Canis lupus familiaris: one gene and its partner. The protein of the gene in region 2 interacts with the protein of the main gene of each other region in a biochemical or structural test. Links are inferred from orthologs where the notes say so. Each region holds a gene or a part of one and is shown on either strand. Other genes may lie near its edges.

Region 1 (7,396 bases), on a different chromosome or scaffold from region 2:
TGGCTGCCCTCTGGTCAAATCGGCGGTCTTGGTTCTGGCTGTTAACCAGTCTGAAGCAAGCGGTGCTCCTCTCTGCCCCTTACCGTTGTAGCCGTCCCGGTCGAGGTCGCCCAGAGATGCGATGGCCGAGCCGAATCGCCCATAGAGCTGTGTGCCAGTCAGCAGGAGGCTGGGGGCGCCCAGCGCCTGGTGACCTCGAGGCTGCAGGAACAAGTACACGCGCCCCACCTCGGCCAGCTTGCGGTCCGCGCGGCTCTCCATGAACAGTGGCGCGCCCACCAGCAAGTCGTGCCGCCTGCAGGCCGGATGGGCGGTGCCACGGGGTGGGTTAGGGAGATTAGCCCAAACTCGCCGGCTCCATTCTCGCCCTCCCGCTCCCCTCGGTGGTTACGTGGGAGTGGGGGAGGAAAGGAGGCGACCCAGAGCAGGCAACTCCTCTGGTGATGGGGGACCCAAACGGGTAGGAGCCTCACCCGTCTCCGTTGACATCAGTGACGGCTATCGAGTGTCCAAAATACGAAGCCATCTGCAGGAAGACGAAGCTTACTGAATCCCCGTCCCCCGCCCAGACAGGCACCCTCTCTTGCACATTGCCCCCCCCCCCAAACCCCGTGGAACATTCTAGGGCTCCAATTCCCCAGCGTCGGCCACCCCCACCGGAACCGGCCTCCACCTGCTCTCCGTGCAGCCTGTGCAGCGTCTGGTGGTACTCGTTCAAAATTTCCACCTGCACGGACAAGCACAGGAGCGCGTCATTCCTGCTCCCCAGGACAGCCTCCCGTTCCGAGTGAGAAAGGGGCTCCTGAAGCTGAGGAGTGGGGTCGAAGGCTTGGGATGCCGAGTGGCGGGACAGGGGGCACTCACCGCTCCTAGGGTACAGCTCCAGGTCGGGGCACCGAGGACATACTCTGGGGAGAGCCAGACCCCAGTGAATGAGGTCCTTCGACCCTACCACCGACCCTCCCGCCCGCGATTCTGTAACCCGGGGGAGACTTTGGTGCGGTGCGGGGCTTGGAGGCGCTCCTCCCCGGGCGGGGCTCCCTATCCTTTGTCCCCGAAATGGATTTCTTGCCTGTAGTGTTGAGATTCCCGTCGAACTCGCCCACAGCCACAGAGTACCCTGAAGAGACAGCACGAATTAATCTTTCTGGGAGGGCGAAGCAGCGGGAAGGCCATGGGCAAGGAAGAAGGGGGGACCCAGAGACCACCCAGTCCAAACCCTGCATTGTGTAGATGGGAAAACAGGCCATCGAGAAGCCAAGGTCAGCCCGGGGCTGCGCAGCTAATCCGGGGTGGGAAAGGCAAGGTGGGGCAAATGGGAGTTGGCGGTGGCGGGGATGCCGAGGGACCAGAGGGTGGAGGCACCTCAGGACCTGACCCGCGGGGTGGGCGGCGATTCTCAGAGGGCTGGGAGGCCTAGGAGGGGGGTGCCAGTGTTACCCCGGTAGCCGTCGTAGTACTCTGGCTTGCTGTAGTCGTAGGTGAAGCTCTGGGAGGACACGTGCCACAACAGGGTGCCCGGGCGGTAACTCGAGATGATATTGTCAATAGGCGTCCGCACCAGGAGACCTACGGCGCGAGGGACAGCGGGTGTGGGGGCCCAGACGCCTGCGGTCTCCCCGTCTCCCCAGGCCGAGAGAAGGGTGTGAAGTGTACAGATGGGCACGTACCTAAGAAAAAATAGCCGCCGGGGGCCCCAAGCACCAGCACTCCAGCCTGAAAGGGAAGCCCTGGAAGTGAGGGGGGGCCGTGTTTGGAAGCCCCCCCCCCCACGCCGCTAGTGCTCCCCACTCGCCTGAGTGACCGCAGCGCTGAAGCCCGCTTCGCAATAGCGCTTGTCTTGGTCTAGAGGAGGGAGGGGAGGGGTCAGCGAAGGGGCGGGGCGGGGCAGAGGCGGGGCGGGGCGGGGCCGGGGCGGGGCCGGGGCGGGGGCCGGGGCGGGGCCACGGGGTAACCTACAGGCGAGGCCCCCAAGCTGAGCGAGGCGGGATGGGACTAGGAGCTGGGCCAAGGGGAAATGCGGGACCGAAAGCCGGGGACTGGGCGGCTCCTGGGGAGGTGCTGAGGGCGGAGCTAAGTGGCCCTGAGCGGGCGGAAACAAAACAGGGAGCCGAACTCACTAAACCGATTTTTCACATAAACCGAGCTCATGGTGTTAGCCCGACACGGCGAGTACTCCGCGCGGTGGCCGTTCCGGAGCTGAGCCACAAAGCAGCCACCTACGGGCGTCTTCTCGGCCTCCTCGGTCTTTTCTAGGACGTTCCAGTGCTGCCAGGGGGCGCAGGCCTGGAGCAGGGCCAAAGGAGAGTGGGGAATCGGCGGGACTCGGGATCCCCGCCCACGTGTCCCTGCCCCCGACTGCTCTTTGCTCCCCGTTCCGTGGCGCCCACCACAATGTTGTCGTTCCAGCTGACGACCGACGCCCCCAGTCCTTGCCGAGACTTGAAGGTTTGGAAGGTGTGGGAGCCTATGTGTCGGGTCTCGTCATCTGGAGAGCATAAGAAGGGTGGGCGCTGAAGCCAGGCTGCCCAAGCTCCGGGTGGCCCCTCCTTTGCCCTCCTTGCGCAGGACTCACTGAGGTCAAAGGGCAGCGACGTGCACTGGCCACCCTCGGCCCTCCAGGGGCACAGGAATACGCCGCCCGTCTCCTCCTGGCTGCGGCCCAGGGTCCGCGGGGCGCCTACCACGAAGGCCACTCTGCGCGTAGGAAAGCTGGGTGAGTGCGGCGCAGAGCAGATGCCGAGGTAGCACCTGCCCTGGTGCCTGTGTTGAGAGCACTACCCGGAAGGGCTGTGTGCCTGGGAAGGCACTGGATCGTCTTCCCTCAAGGAGACATCACAGACCATGGAGGCCAATCTTTTCATTTTACTGTCAATGAAACCGTCTCCCAGTGGGGAAACCACGTGCCTAAAGTAATCTAGCCAGTTAACGGTAAAGCTGGTATTATATAACCTTTTGGTTTGATTTGAATATGAAGAGTTTGTATCCTTGCTGAAAAAGACCTCCTAAGCTCTGCACACCCTCCAATTCCATATCCTTCACTTCTGTGCCCCACACCAAAAGTCAGGGGTTTACATGCTTCCTAGAACTGAATACTGTTACCAGATGCTTTCCTAAGAGCTAGTTTTAATGGTGAAGGATTAGGGAAACTACTGGCCACCTCTAAAGTGGGATACTGATAACACCAAAGACTTTAGTAGATCTAGGTTCAAATCATAGCTCTACCATATATAAATTGGGAACAATACCAACCAATGTCAGAAGTAAATGAAATCAAGGTATGAGGGACATTTTTGCGTGGTGCCAGCCAAGTAATGCTTAACAAGTACTAAAAAAAAAATGCTATAATTTTCTTTTAGCTTGCAGGATGTTTAAGTAATGCCTATGAGGCCAGTATTTAGAAAGGGAGAGAAGCAGGAGTGGGCAGAGAAAGAGGTCAAATGCAGATCCAGACCCATTGACAGCCATGAGGCAACATCCTGGGAGCTCTGGAGCTAGAGCTCCAGAAAAAAAGGACCCTTCAGAACAGTCCCAAGTTGAGGTGAGAACATCAGACCCTTACACCTCCCTCCACACTCCTCATTGATCAGTCATTGATTGTAGGTTCCATTGGAAAAGGGACTTGACTTTGGGGGAGGTGACTCTCTTCAGCAAAGGAAATTCCCTAAGAGTCAGATAGTTGAAGGCTGTCTGCCATTCCCACTCCCCAGAGGTGGGCATCACAGCATCTACCATAATAAGTAGTGCAGGGTAGTTACAATAAAGAGAAGGAACCAGGATTCTAATCTTGGAAGTCTGATTTCGCAGCTGACTAATCCCAACCATTAATGCTCTATTGTTTCTTTTCAAATATCTGTAATTTTGATGGGGAAGAGGGACATGGAATAGAACAGCAAGGTGGGGGCAGGTAGATAGTTTTGCAAGTAAATTTAAGACACATGCTCCTCTCTGTATTTTGAGATAACAAAGATGGAATAGGTCATACAACTGACCCTTGAAGGAAAAAAGAAGGCATCAACTTTTATCTTCCCTTTGTTTTTCCTGTAGTTTTGGTGCTCACCTTTCCATGTGTGCCCCTCCCTGACACCTTTACTTGAGCTAGTTCCTGCCAGTATTCCTAAAAAGAACTGTCTGAATAGAGCCTAGAAGTCACTTTGCTCAACCTCTATCACAAATGGGTTCACAGAAGTAGTGATAGTAACTCTCTCCCCAACACCCAAACTTCACCCCAGCCTTACCTCCCATGGTTGTCCTTGTAGAAGTCCAGTGAAAACCCAAAGTGGCTGCCATTGGGGCCTGTGTAGAAGGTGAGTTGCACTGGGTCCAAGTTCAAGGCCCAGCCTAGAGGGATGGCACCAGGTCCCAAGAACAGCTGCACCCACTCCAGAAGCCAGAGGGCATTAAGTGGACATACAGCTCTGGCCATCTTCCTTCTCCCACAATCTCCTGGGCAGGAATGGGCTAGCTGCCTCCTCTTCCTTTCAGTCTCCACCACAGGAAGGCTTTTCTTATCAGACTGGAACTCACTTGCTGAGCAGTAGGCAGAGGAAAGGGCTACAGGCCCTGGAACCATATGGTTTCTTGGATTGCCAGGAAGAGGGTGAGGGCACCCTGGGGGGTGGATGCTGATGGCTGAAAGCCATGACTCCTCCCTTTTCCTGAGAGTAGTTTATCTCCAAGTCCTGTTGATTCTGCCTTTCAACTATGTCTCTTGAATCTTCACATTTCCACTAACACCAGGCTAGTCTAAGCCACCATTCCTTTCTGCTTGGGATAGGATAACCATGAACTATAATGGTGTGTACATGTCCACTCTAGTTGTTTTACAGCTCTTGCTCTCCATCTCACAGTGGTCTGCATTGCTGTGGCCCACTCTGACTTGGTCAGAGGTGGAGGAAGGGGTGCTGTCCCCTGATAAGACCTGAAGCTGCTATATCCTTTTGGATAACGCACTTACCCACTTCCTCCTTCCAGGGCCTTGGTCAGCCATATTGGTGTAGCAGGTTTCTCCACTCTCCCTCCATCTCAGGCCAAGTCTTAGTGTGGTCACAGCAGTGCCGCTGGTGCTGGTGAAGGGGTGGCGAAGGGGAAAGGAGATGAGGATAGAGTTGAGTCTTCAGGCTCACAGGTTCTGGGACTATACACCAGCTTCTCTGGTTGAAGGCAGACCCTCAGTCTTAGGTGACAGAGCTCTTGTCCAATTAAGACTTAATTCTAGTGGGGTCACTGCCTAGGGGAAGCCTCCTTCAAGTCCTCAGGCTGGTATTCTGGGGTTGACACACATGGGCACAGCACCGATCATGCTGTTTTGTAATGGTCCATTCATGGACATGATTGTGTCCACGACTCCCTTGAGAGCAAGGTTCCTTTCTGTGTCCCCAGGACCTAGCCAAGAGCCCAACACTTAGTAGGTATTGCTGATAGACTGAATGGGAGCACGGAAACATGAAGTCACACAGTGGAAAGAGAAGTAGTTTTGCGCAGAAAGGCAAGGTAATTTTCTCTAGAGGACAGGAAGAGGAGTGACAAGTCTTATTGGCACTGCAGGTCTTCCTCCAAAAAGCAGTTTCACAGTAAGGAAATTCAAGAGATCTGCTCCAAGTAAAGGAAGACTGCCACATCCTCCTTCTGCTCTATATTTTCTAACCAAACTTAACCATCATCGCATCCTGCCCAGCTATCCTGTGCCATTCAGGTTTCCTTTCAGCTCCTCTGTTCTCATAATTCAGCACACAGCTCAAAATCCTATCCTTTATTAGATTAGAAGCTCCTTGAACTTTAGTCTGGACTTTCTTCACTGCTGAATTCCCAGTGCTAAGCTTGTGGTGGGCATGCAATGATTTGCTAGAATGAATACTTAATTCTGTCCTATACTTACCTTCCACTCTCTCCTTGTCTTCAACCAAGTGGTATTACTGCTGTATACTGTATAGCCCAATATTGTCACATCCCACTGAGGTCTTTAATAGGTATTTATTCTGGGGGGCCTTGGTGGCTCAGTCGGTTAAACGTCTGCCTTAAGCTTAGGTTATGATCCCAGGATCAGCTGCATTTGGCTCCCTGCTCAGCAGGGAGACTGCTTCTCCCTCTTCCTCTGCCTGCTGCTCTGCTCCGCTTGTTTGTGTGCTTGCTGTCAAATAAAAAAATCTTTTTTTTTTAAAGATTTTATTTGAGAGATAGAGAGAGAGAGAGAGAGAGATAGCAAAAGAGAGCACGAGTGCGGAGCAGAGAGAGAAGCAGGCTCCCCACTGAGCAGGGAGCCTGATGTGGGGCTCGATCCCGAGACCATGACATGAGCTGAAGGCAGACACTTAACCAACTGAGCCACCCATGCACCCTTAAATAAGTAAAATCTTTATTTTATTTTTATTTATTTATGATAGTCACAGAGAGAGAGAGGCACAGAGACACAGGCAGAGGGAGAAGCAGGCTCCATGCACCGGGAGCCCAATGTGGGATTCGATCCCGGATCTCCAGGATCGTGCCCTGGGCCAAAGGCAGGCACCAAACCGCTGCGCCACCCAGGGATCCCAAGTAAAATCTTTAAAAAAGGGTATTTATTCTGCTCAAGGCACTGAGTGATAAATACAAAGATAATGGTCAGGGATCCTTAAAGAACTTAGCTCAGAATTAGGACATGAACACATGTAACTGCAGCAGAGGGACAGTGAAGAATGCCTTGAAAAGAGTGGACATTATGCCTAACTGAAGTCCTATCTTTGTTCTTTTTGACAACCCTATGAAATAGGTACTATTATGCCCATTTTATAAATGCAGAAACCATCGCACATAGTTTTAGGTAAATTGCCTAAACTTACATAGCCAATGGGTGGCCAAACAAGGATTCAAACACTTGAATCCATGTTCTTCACCATTCTACCATGTTGCCTTCTGTCTGAGAATGAAGAGGTTTTCAGGCACAGGAAATAACATGAGCAAAGAGAGCAGAAGACCATAGAGGTCGATTATAGGGAAGAGACAGGGATCCCTGGGTGGCGTGGCGCAGCGGTTTAGCGCCTGCCTTTGGCCCAGGGCGCAATCCTGGAGACCCGGGATCGAATCCCACGTCAGGCTCCCGGTGCATGGAGCCTGCTTCTCCCTCTGCCTCTCTCTCTCTCTCTCTCTCTATCATAAATAAATAAAAATTAAAAAAAAATTTTTTATAGGGAAAAGGCAAGTGGCCAACTCAGCACTGGGTGTCCAAAGGTGAGGATTGGGGCATGAGGGTGGAATGGAAGGCTGGGGTCAAATCGCTGGAGGTCCTTGAATGCCTTAAGAAATTTGAACTCTAAGAGTTGGAAAATCATAAAGATTTTTTAAGTCAGGGAATAAGAGCTACATTGACCAATTGTGCTCCATTTCAGATGATTACACGGTTTCTCTGTGGATAGAACGA
Region 2 (7,250 bases):
CTTAGTGTAGCCCCCTCCCACCAAGGGCTAAAAAGCAAGAGGGGCTACTTCTCTCCTCTTCAACAAAGGCCAAAGTCTCCTGCACAGCCACCCTGCTGGCCAGAGCCTGAGGAAACCCAGTACACCACCTGCCCTTCTATTCCCTTTCAGCCTTCAGTGTCTGGATGGGGGTGGGGGTGTCGGTGGGCTGGCTGGGCTGGGCCAGTCTGGGAGGAGGACACCAGAGCTGGCCCTACCTGTGCTCTCTTCCTCCAGTGGTCCTGATTTGCCTGCTGCTCTATGGGCAGCTCCTGGAGCAGAGTCGTCATTCCTGGGTTAATACCACAACGCTCATCACAGGCTGTACCAATGCTGCGGGCCTGGTGGTGGTCGGCAACTTCCAGGTGGGCCCGCCTGCCTGCATGTTGAACTTTTTTAACTAATGGGTCCTGGCTGTCTGCAGGTGCCCTGTCCCCTGATGGCTGACCCAAGTTGCAGCCCTTCAGGGCTGAGGGAGGAGACAGAAGGTCTGGGAGGGAAGGGAGATAGAGGTGGGGAAGAGGGGTGGTGGAGGTAGGGCTGCTTCACAGATCAGCCCTTCTCTCTGGGCCCAGGTGGATCATGCAAAGTCTCTGCACTACATCGGAACTGGTGTGGCCTTCCCTGCTGGCCTGCTCTTTGTCTGCCTGCACTGTGCTCTCTCCTACCATGGGGCCACTGCCCCCCAGGACCTGGCTATGGCCTACCTGCGGATTGTGCTGGCAGCCATCGCCTTTGTCACCCTAATCCTCAGTATCCTTCCAGGACAGGGCAGCCAGGAGAGCATCTTCAAGCCCAGCCTTTCCCCACCCAAGATGCTGGGGGGGGTAGGTGGTGGGGAGTGGGGGAGAGCTTGGCACACGTATATCCAGAAAATACTGCCCAGGGTGTTTTCCTTCTTCCCCTCCCAGGTGGGAGACCAGGCTCTTTGGCCCAGCTTAGTTATCTATCTGGGAAGGTAGGAGTGTCACCACATCCCACGTGTCCTACTGAACACTTCCTTAGCCCCATTCCAGGTGGTGTCTTCTTTATGCATGAGAGCTCTCAGCTGCAGCACGGGGCAGCCCTGTGCGAGTGGGTGTTTGTGATCGACATCCTCATTTTCTACGGCACCTTCAGCTATGAGTTTGGGGCAGTTTCCTCAGAGACACTGGTGGCTGCCCTGCAGCCTGCCTCTGGCCGGGCCTGCAAGTCCTCCGGAAGCAGTAGCACTTCCACTCACCTCAACTGTGCTCCGGAAAGCATCGCCATGATCTGAGGCCTGGGGAGGGTGGCTGGCCCAGCCTCAGCAGCTCCCCACCTCATAACTTTGCATTTATTTTGTACCAAAAACAATTTTGAGAAAGTATTTTGTTGGGATATGGGTTTCCTTGCTGCTGGAGGAACGGCCATCCCATACCCACCTGTGCTATAGAAGAGCAGGCCTGGCTGCTGCCTGGGCCACACGCAACCTACTGCTTGACTCTGCAGTGTTTTATGTTTAAAGGTCACATATCCTCACTCACCCAGCCAGCCCTTCAGGTGCCTTCTACTCCCCAGTGCCGAGGCAACACCACTGGGGTTTCCCGCTGCAGGAATTGGGGGCTGGAAACAGCAAGAGGGATAGAAGTCAGGGAATAGAAGGGGGAGCACTCCTTAGTCTGTGGGAAGGCCCACTTTTGGGCCCACTGAGCTGCACTGGGATTCTTCACTCGGCCCCTTACTTTCAGGCAAATAACATAGCAGAACCACGTGGGTATTTTAATACTTTTTTTTTTAATCTATTAAAAGAATTCTAATTTGCATGTTTGTAGTCTGTTCTAAACAATCAGGAGAGGGCCTGACCCAGGTCAGCTTTCCCTAGGCAAAGGGTGGGAGGAATCCCCTGCCCTCAGGGAGAGTGCCCACTGCTCTTTGAAAGCAGGGCTGCCAAGAATAAAGGATGCCTGGTGCTATCCAAATATCCTTCAAGAGCTTGAAACCCTTTCTAGGCGTTAAAACAGTCTAAAGAACTGACCTGATCCTTCCCCAATTCCATGTGAAGTTTGCTTCTCTAGTAAGGGATATGGGGGCGGGGGAAGGAGGTCATCCAGAGAGCAACTTTGAAATGCTAGAAACGGTTTTCACAATGAAAAAAAGCCCGTGGGATTCCAAGGTTGACTAAAAATTGCAGGGGAGAGAGACAGAGGCTAGATTTTGTTTACCATCCGTAAGTAGCTATTGGATGCCAGACCCTGACACATTTTGCTTTCCAACGATGAACACCTAGGCCCAGTCACTGGCTGCTCCAGTGGCCAGGTTCTTGACCTGGGTTCCACTGCTCTCAGGCCAGTAGGCTTGGCAGGAAGGGACATGTAGCCCGGTACTTTCTGTGGTTCCCCCAACCACAGTAGGGACCTCATGGAGGATACAGAACCCCTGCCCAGGCCTGTGAGCAATGCAGTGCAGGGTGGGTAAAGAAATCTTTAATGAGGATTCAAGGTGCAGGAGGAAGATATTGTGGAGGACGAGTGCTCAACCCCAGGCACCTCATGTGTACATGGCTCCGTGGAGGTTCTCAAGCCGGTGCTTTTGCTGCTGCTTGCGAGCCTGAAGGAAAGAGGAAACACTGGGCATGGGTCATACCTGAAGCCCTGTGGGGGGAGCGATGGGACAGCTATCACTGTTTTCAGGCCCCAAGCATGTGCATCGCCAAGGCTCTTGTCCCTCACCAAAGTCACCAGGAAGACGACCAGAGTCAGTGACTCTGAGGCCTAACCAAGCCTGCTAAGGTAGGGAATGAGAACACTGAGGACAGCGACTAAGGGGTCCACATTACCACCCTCTTCACTTACCACCAGCCCTTACCTTATCTCGTCTGTGCTCCTCATAAGCGTCATCATCAGTGGGCAGCTCATGGCGGCACAGGGGGCAGGAATTTGTCTGAGAAAAGGAGGGCAGTGTTCCAGCCCAGGTCTGGTCTTTATAAGCTAACATCTGCCCCTTGCTCCCAGTTCCCACCCGTACCCTCTCCCTTCTCTGATCCCCTAACAGTCCATAAACAGAAAGAGGCTTGAGAATTGGGCCCAGGGCAGGGTAAGGGCTGAGAGAAAGGAAGCGGTACCTTGCTTAGCCAGGGTAGAATGCAGTTGGAATGGAAGAGGTGACGGCAAGGCATCTCAATGGCAGTCTCCTCCTCCTCAAATTCCAAAAGACACACGGGGCACTTGAGCTCTTGAGGAAGGAGTGCTGATCAGGAGAGCTGCTACAGGCCCTGCCTCCCGGCTCCCACTCCTGAAAGACATTCTTGCCCCAACCTGACCTGGAAAACTGAAGGGCTAGACCAGTCTAGCTTGGGAGCAGGTGCGTCTGGCAAACCTGCCCCAAATAGTAAGAATTTGTGTTCTCACCAGCCTGAGAGCTCCTGATGACTGTCCTGGGAAGGTTCTCAACCACAGCCTTGGCAGCAGGTGGAGGCAGATGATGATCCCAATCTACTACCAACCCCAAGTCTTCAAAGTCCATCCTATTGAAAAGTGACCTGGGAGGAACGATGCATGATCAGAACCGAAGAAAACCGTACTTTCTTTTTGCCCCCACAATCCAGTAGGCATTAACAGATAAATATTCTGTCGAGCCAGTACCAACAGCTAGCCCCCAAAAGTGTTCACTAGATAAAAAAGCACAATGGAAAATGGTTTACAGTTGCTATAAGACAACCCCAAGCATGCAAGCTATTTTGTCCCATTTTATTATTTTTTAAAGATTGTATTTATTTATTCAGGAGAGAGACAGAGAGAGGCAGAGACACAGGAGGAGGGAGAAGCAGGCTCCATGCAGGGAGCCCAACGTCGGACTCGATCCCGAGTCTTCAAGATCACGCCCTGGACCGAAGGCGGCGCTAAACCGCTGAGCCACCGGGGCTGTCCTAGTCCCATTTTACACATGAGGCAACAGGCTCAGAGAAATTACTCAGGCCATGTAGACATGACCTGGTAAAGCCAGATTCCAAGTGGCAATGGTGGTTTCCGTGCTTGTTGTTCCTAACGAATGTACCTACTCACGCCCACACGGCCCCTCCCCTGCTAGAACCGACTGCCCTGCCGCCCCCCACTCTCCCCTATTCGCCAGCTCCCATCTTTCCTACCATCCCCGGCCCGCCCACGGATGGTCCAAATTATCGATCTTCCTCGAATCTCGTCTCTGGACTAACTCTCCATCATAAGATTCATCCGTCCTCCCCAGACTCTCTGCCGTCTATAATCCGCCTTGTCCAGCCAGCCCCAGCCCAGATACCTGCTACCCGAGCCCCCACCCCCCAGCTCCGTGCACCCACCTTGCGAGCTCCAGCAACATACTGGTTCGGGCCTCCTGCTCGGAATCCAGCGGCTCGCAGTCGTGCTCATCGAAATAGGACGCCATGGCGGCGGGGCTGTCTGACACAGCCCTCGGAGGCCGCTGGACTGTGGCCCCACGGCGCTGGCCAATAAGTTGCGGGCCTGAGCGAGGAAGACCAATCAGAGCATCCGAAAGGCGGGCTCAGAGGCTCGTTAGGCGCATGAAAGCGGAAGTATTAATTCTGCTGCCTCTCGTTGGCTCGAACAAGTCAGGTGACCAAAGGCTACAGCCAATGGCAGGGGCTTGGGCCGGTCGGGAAAAACAGCTGTTTGGGGCTCCGACCCTGGGGGAGGGTATCTGCGAATGACGTGTGGGTCGGGTGCTCGGCGCCCTGAATAGCCAAGTGTCGGGGCTGTAGGGCCTTGGGTTCGCTCTGCGGCTCAGAGGGCCTAGGACGTGCAGGTGCTAGAGGCCCTCCAGAGAGCGAGGCGTGGCGCAGGGGGTCAGGGTCCTGCGAACCTGGAAGGACGACGTTCCCCGCTGCTCTGCCCGGTCCCCGCCCAGTGCTTCTGCACCTGCTGCACTCTGGGTAGTTCAGGGGTTGGCCCTTGATTACCCTCTCAACCCGCAAAACAAAAATGTCCTGATTATTTTTTGTTAGACACAATCAAGGGTGGGGTAAAAGTCCCCCAACGAGAGAGGGAAGATCCTTGCCAGGGAATCTAGGGCCTTACCCGCTCACAGAACTATGTGTGTGACCTTCAGCCCACTGCTCAGCCTCTCGGCTAGCTTCTGTAAAATTAGTGGCTTGATTTCAAGGAGTTTGCATCCCTGGCTACCCATGGCTATCCTGGAGATGGAACCAGGGGTTGCAGCTTTAGGGGGAAATAACCCTGCGTCAGATACTTCCCTCAAAGATTCTGATAGAACTGATCCAGGCCCTATAGGAAAGCTGTGTAGGCCAGCGGCTAATGTGTGTGTCCAGGCATCCTGCACACTTGGATTTAAATCTTAGCTCTGATACTAAGTAATCTAGGCCTGGGGGTGATAGTTTTAGAAGTTCTACAGGTGATTCTGATGTGAGGCAGGCTTGAGAACTGCACTAGATGAAATGGATGACAGCTACTTTTTATTTGGCATCTAGAACCATTACACTGATGGATATGTTACACACAATACAAATAATCCTCACAATTGTTCTGGGAGTTAAATATCCCTTTTTTCGTATGTAAACCCCAAGTCTCAAGTGACTTGCCCAAATCCACACGGCCTCTAAGTGGTGTTACCGACCAACTACACAGCCAAGCAGTTTTCTCCAGCTTTCCCAGAAAAAGATGGTAATGAGCCCAGTGGAAGCAACAAGCTCTGTGAGGGGTAAATCTCCACACAACTCTCAGGTTTGTTCTTGTTTCTCTGTCAGTAGCCCTCACTTCACCTAACAAGGAACTGCTTCTGTTACACACTTGACCTTGACCCTGAATTCCTCTTCCACACTTGAGTTTGCGATGCAGTCAAGTAGCCCAGGCAGAGACTGCCCAGCTTCCGTGACCCTAGTAGGGCTTTCTTTCCTTCTTCCATAGCCTTTACCCAATCATCTTTCCTGTGACCCTAAGGCCCTGCCAGCTTGGCCCTGTATGGCCTTGGAGCTTTGAAGAGGCTGAATTCTTTCCTACAGGACAAAGTCTAGGCCATCCTTTGTGACTGTCCATTACAGCACCAGAAAAGCCCTTCCCATTTTCTTTAAGGTTTTATTTATTGATTGAGAGAGAGAGAGAGAGAGGTGGAGACACAGGCAAAGGGAGAAGCAGGCTCCATGCAGGGAGCCCAACGTGGGACTCGATCCCAGGTCTCCAGGATCACATCCTGGGCTGAAGGCAGCGCTAAACCGCTGAGCACCCAGGGATCTCCCCATTTTCACTGCGATCTGCCTCATCTGTAATCAGGTGTAAAGCTTGAGGAAGAACGCCCAGGAGAAAAATTGAGGAGGACAGGGTGTCCAGAGAGGAAAAAAAATCTATCCAAAAGTGAAAGCCTCGTGAGATAAAAATCTTTGAGGTGCCTTCTTCTGGAGTCCAATTCTGAGCATCTTCAAGACATCAGAAAAAGGGGCGCCTGGGTGGCTCAGTGGTTGAGTATCTGCCTTTGGCTCAGGGCGTGATCCCGGGGTTCCAGGATCAAGTCCCACATTGGGCTCCCTGCATGGAGCCTGCTTCTCCTCCCCCTGCCTGTGTCTCTGCCTCTCTTTCTGGGTTTCTCATGAATAAATAAATAAAACCTTAATTAAAAAAAAAAGACATCAGAAAAAGAATATATTTCATTCTGACGTAAACAGGCTCAGAGGGCACTAGTTGAAGGTTCTGGTTTGGGAGCCACTCTCTCTTTGCACCTGCACCCCAGAAGTTTCTGTCCAGGTAGGATTGGATCACATACAAGGAAGGAAGAATATAGGGGCCACCTCCCAAGGGTGAAGTCCTTCTACCAACTTTCTAAACAACCCCAGGAGTGGAGGCCAAGAAGGATGAACCAACTTGGAGGACTTCACACATACATACAAACACCAGCTTTTAACCAAACAGCAGCTTTTACTGAGCTCCAGGTAGGGCTGGCCTGGCACAGCTAGTGCAGCAGGCTGCCCTCAAGGGCCAGTCTGTGGCGTGATAGGAGATGCAAAGGTGCACACATCAGAGTTGCTCTTCAGTGCTCAGTTGGGTGGCTCAGATGGGAGCAAACGCCAGGGTTCTCTGGAGACCAGAACCAGCCAGTGCGGCCCCTCGGCCTATCCTCAAGGCCCAGCTGGGTCAGCCCCCAGGCCCTGAGGCAGCGCCGGCGTCCTGGGCATGTGGAGCACTGCTGTCCCCACTGCTCCACGGGAGAAAGATGACCAGTAGCACAATCAGGATGATGAGCAGGCCAATGCCCACCACCAGCCCCAAGTA

Evidence for each region. The genes of interacting proteins can lie anywhere in the genome.
Region 1: the proteins of RNF181 (region 2) and ITGA2B form a complex in vitro, tested with the Homo sapiens proteins (2 studies listed by BioGRID). The link is inferred for Canis lupus familiaris from reciprocal best matches to the Homo sapiens genes RNF181 and ITGA2B.

What each region holds. Positions count from the first base shown.
Region 1 is NC_049230.1:18,922,538-18,929,933, reverse strand, and holds the start of ITGA2B (integrin alpha-IIb), read right to left. Parts: upstream 4,443-7,396; 5' UTR 4,427-4,442; coding exon 4,239-4,426; intron 2,698-4,238; coding exon 2,576-2,697; intron 2,489-2,575; coding exon 2,391-2,488; intron 2,287-2,390; coding exon 2,121-2,286; intron 1,846-2,120; coding exon 1,796-1,845; intron 1,717-1,795; coding exon 1,671-1,716; intron 1,570-1,670; coding exon 1,441-1,569; intron 1,121-1,440; coding exon 1,073-1,120; intron 909-1,072; coding exon 865-908; intron 728-864; coding exon 674-727; intron 527-673; coding exon 474-526; intron 296-473; coding exon 84-295; intron 1-83. UniProt on the Homo sapiens protein: Integrin alpha-IIb/beta-3 is a receptor for fibronectin, fibrinogen, plasminogen, prothrombin, thrombospondin and vitronectin. It recognizes the sequence R-G-D in a wide array of ligands.
Region 2 is NC_049238.1:39,829,793-39,837,042, forward strand, and holds RNF181 (E3 ubiquitin-protein ligase RNF181), read right to left. Parts: upstream 4,470-7,250; 5' UTR 4,399-4,469; coding exon 4,313-4,398; intron 3,518-4,312; coding exon 3,387-3,517; intron 3,211-3,386; coding exon 3,101-3,210; intron 2,920-3,100; coding exon 2,845-2,919; intron 2,587-2,844; coding exon 2,527-2,586; 3' UTR 1,755-2,526; downstream 1-1,754. Other genes in the region: TMEM150A (transmembrane protein 150A), read left to right, coding at 256-383, 594-771, 1,035-1,276; VAMP5 (vesicle-associated membrane protein 5), read right to left, coding at 7,113-7,250.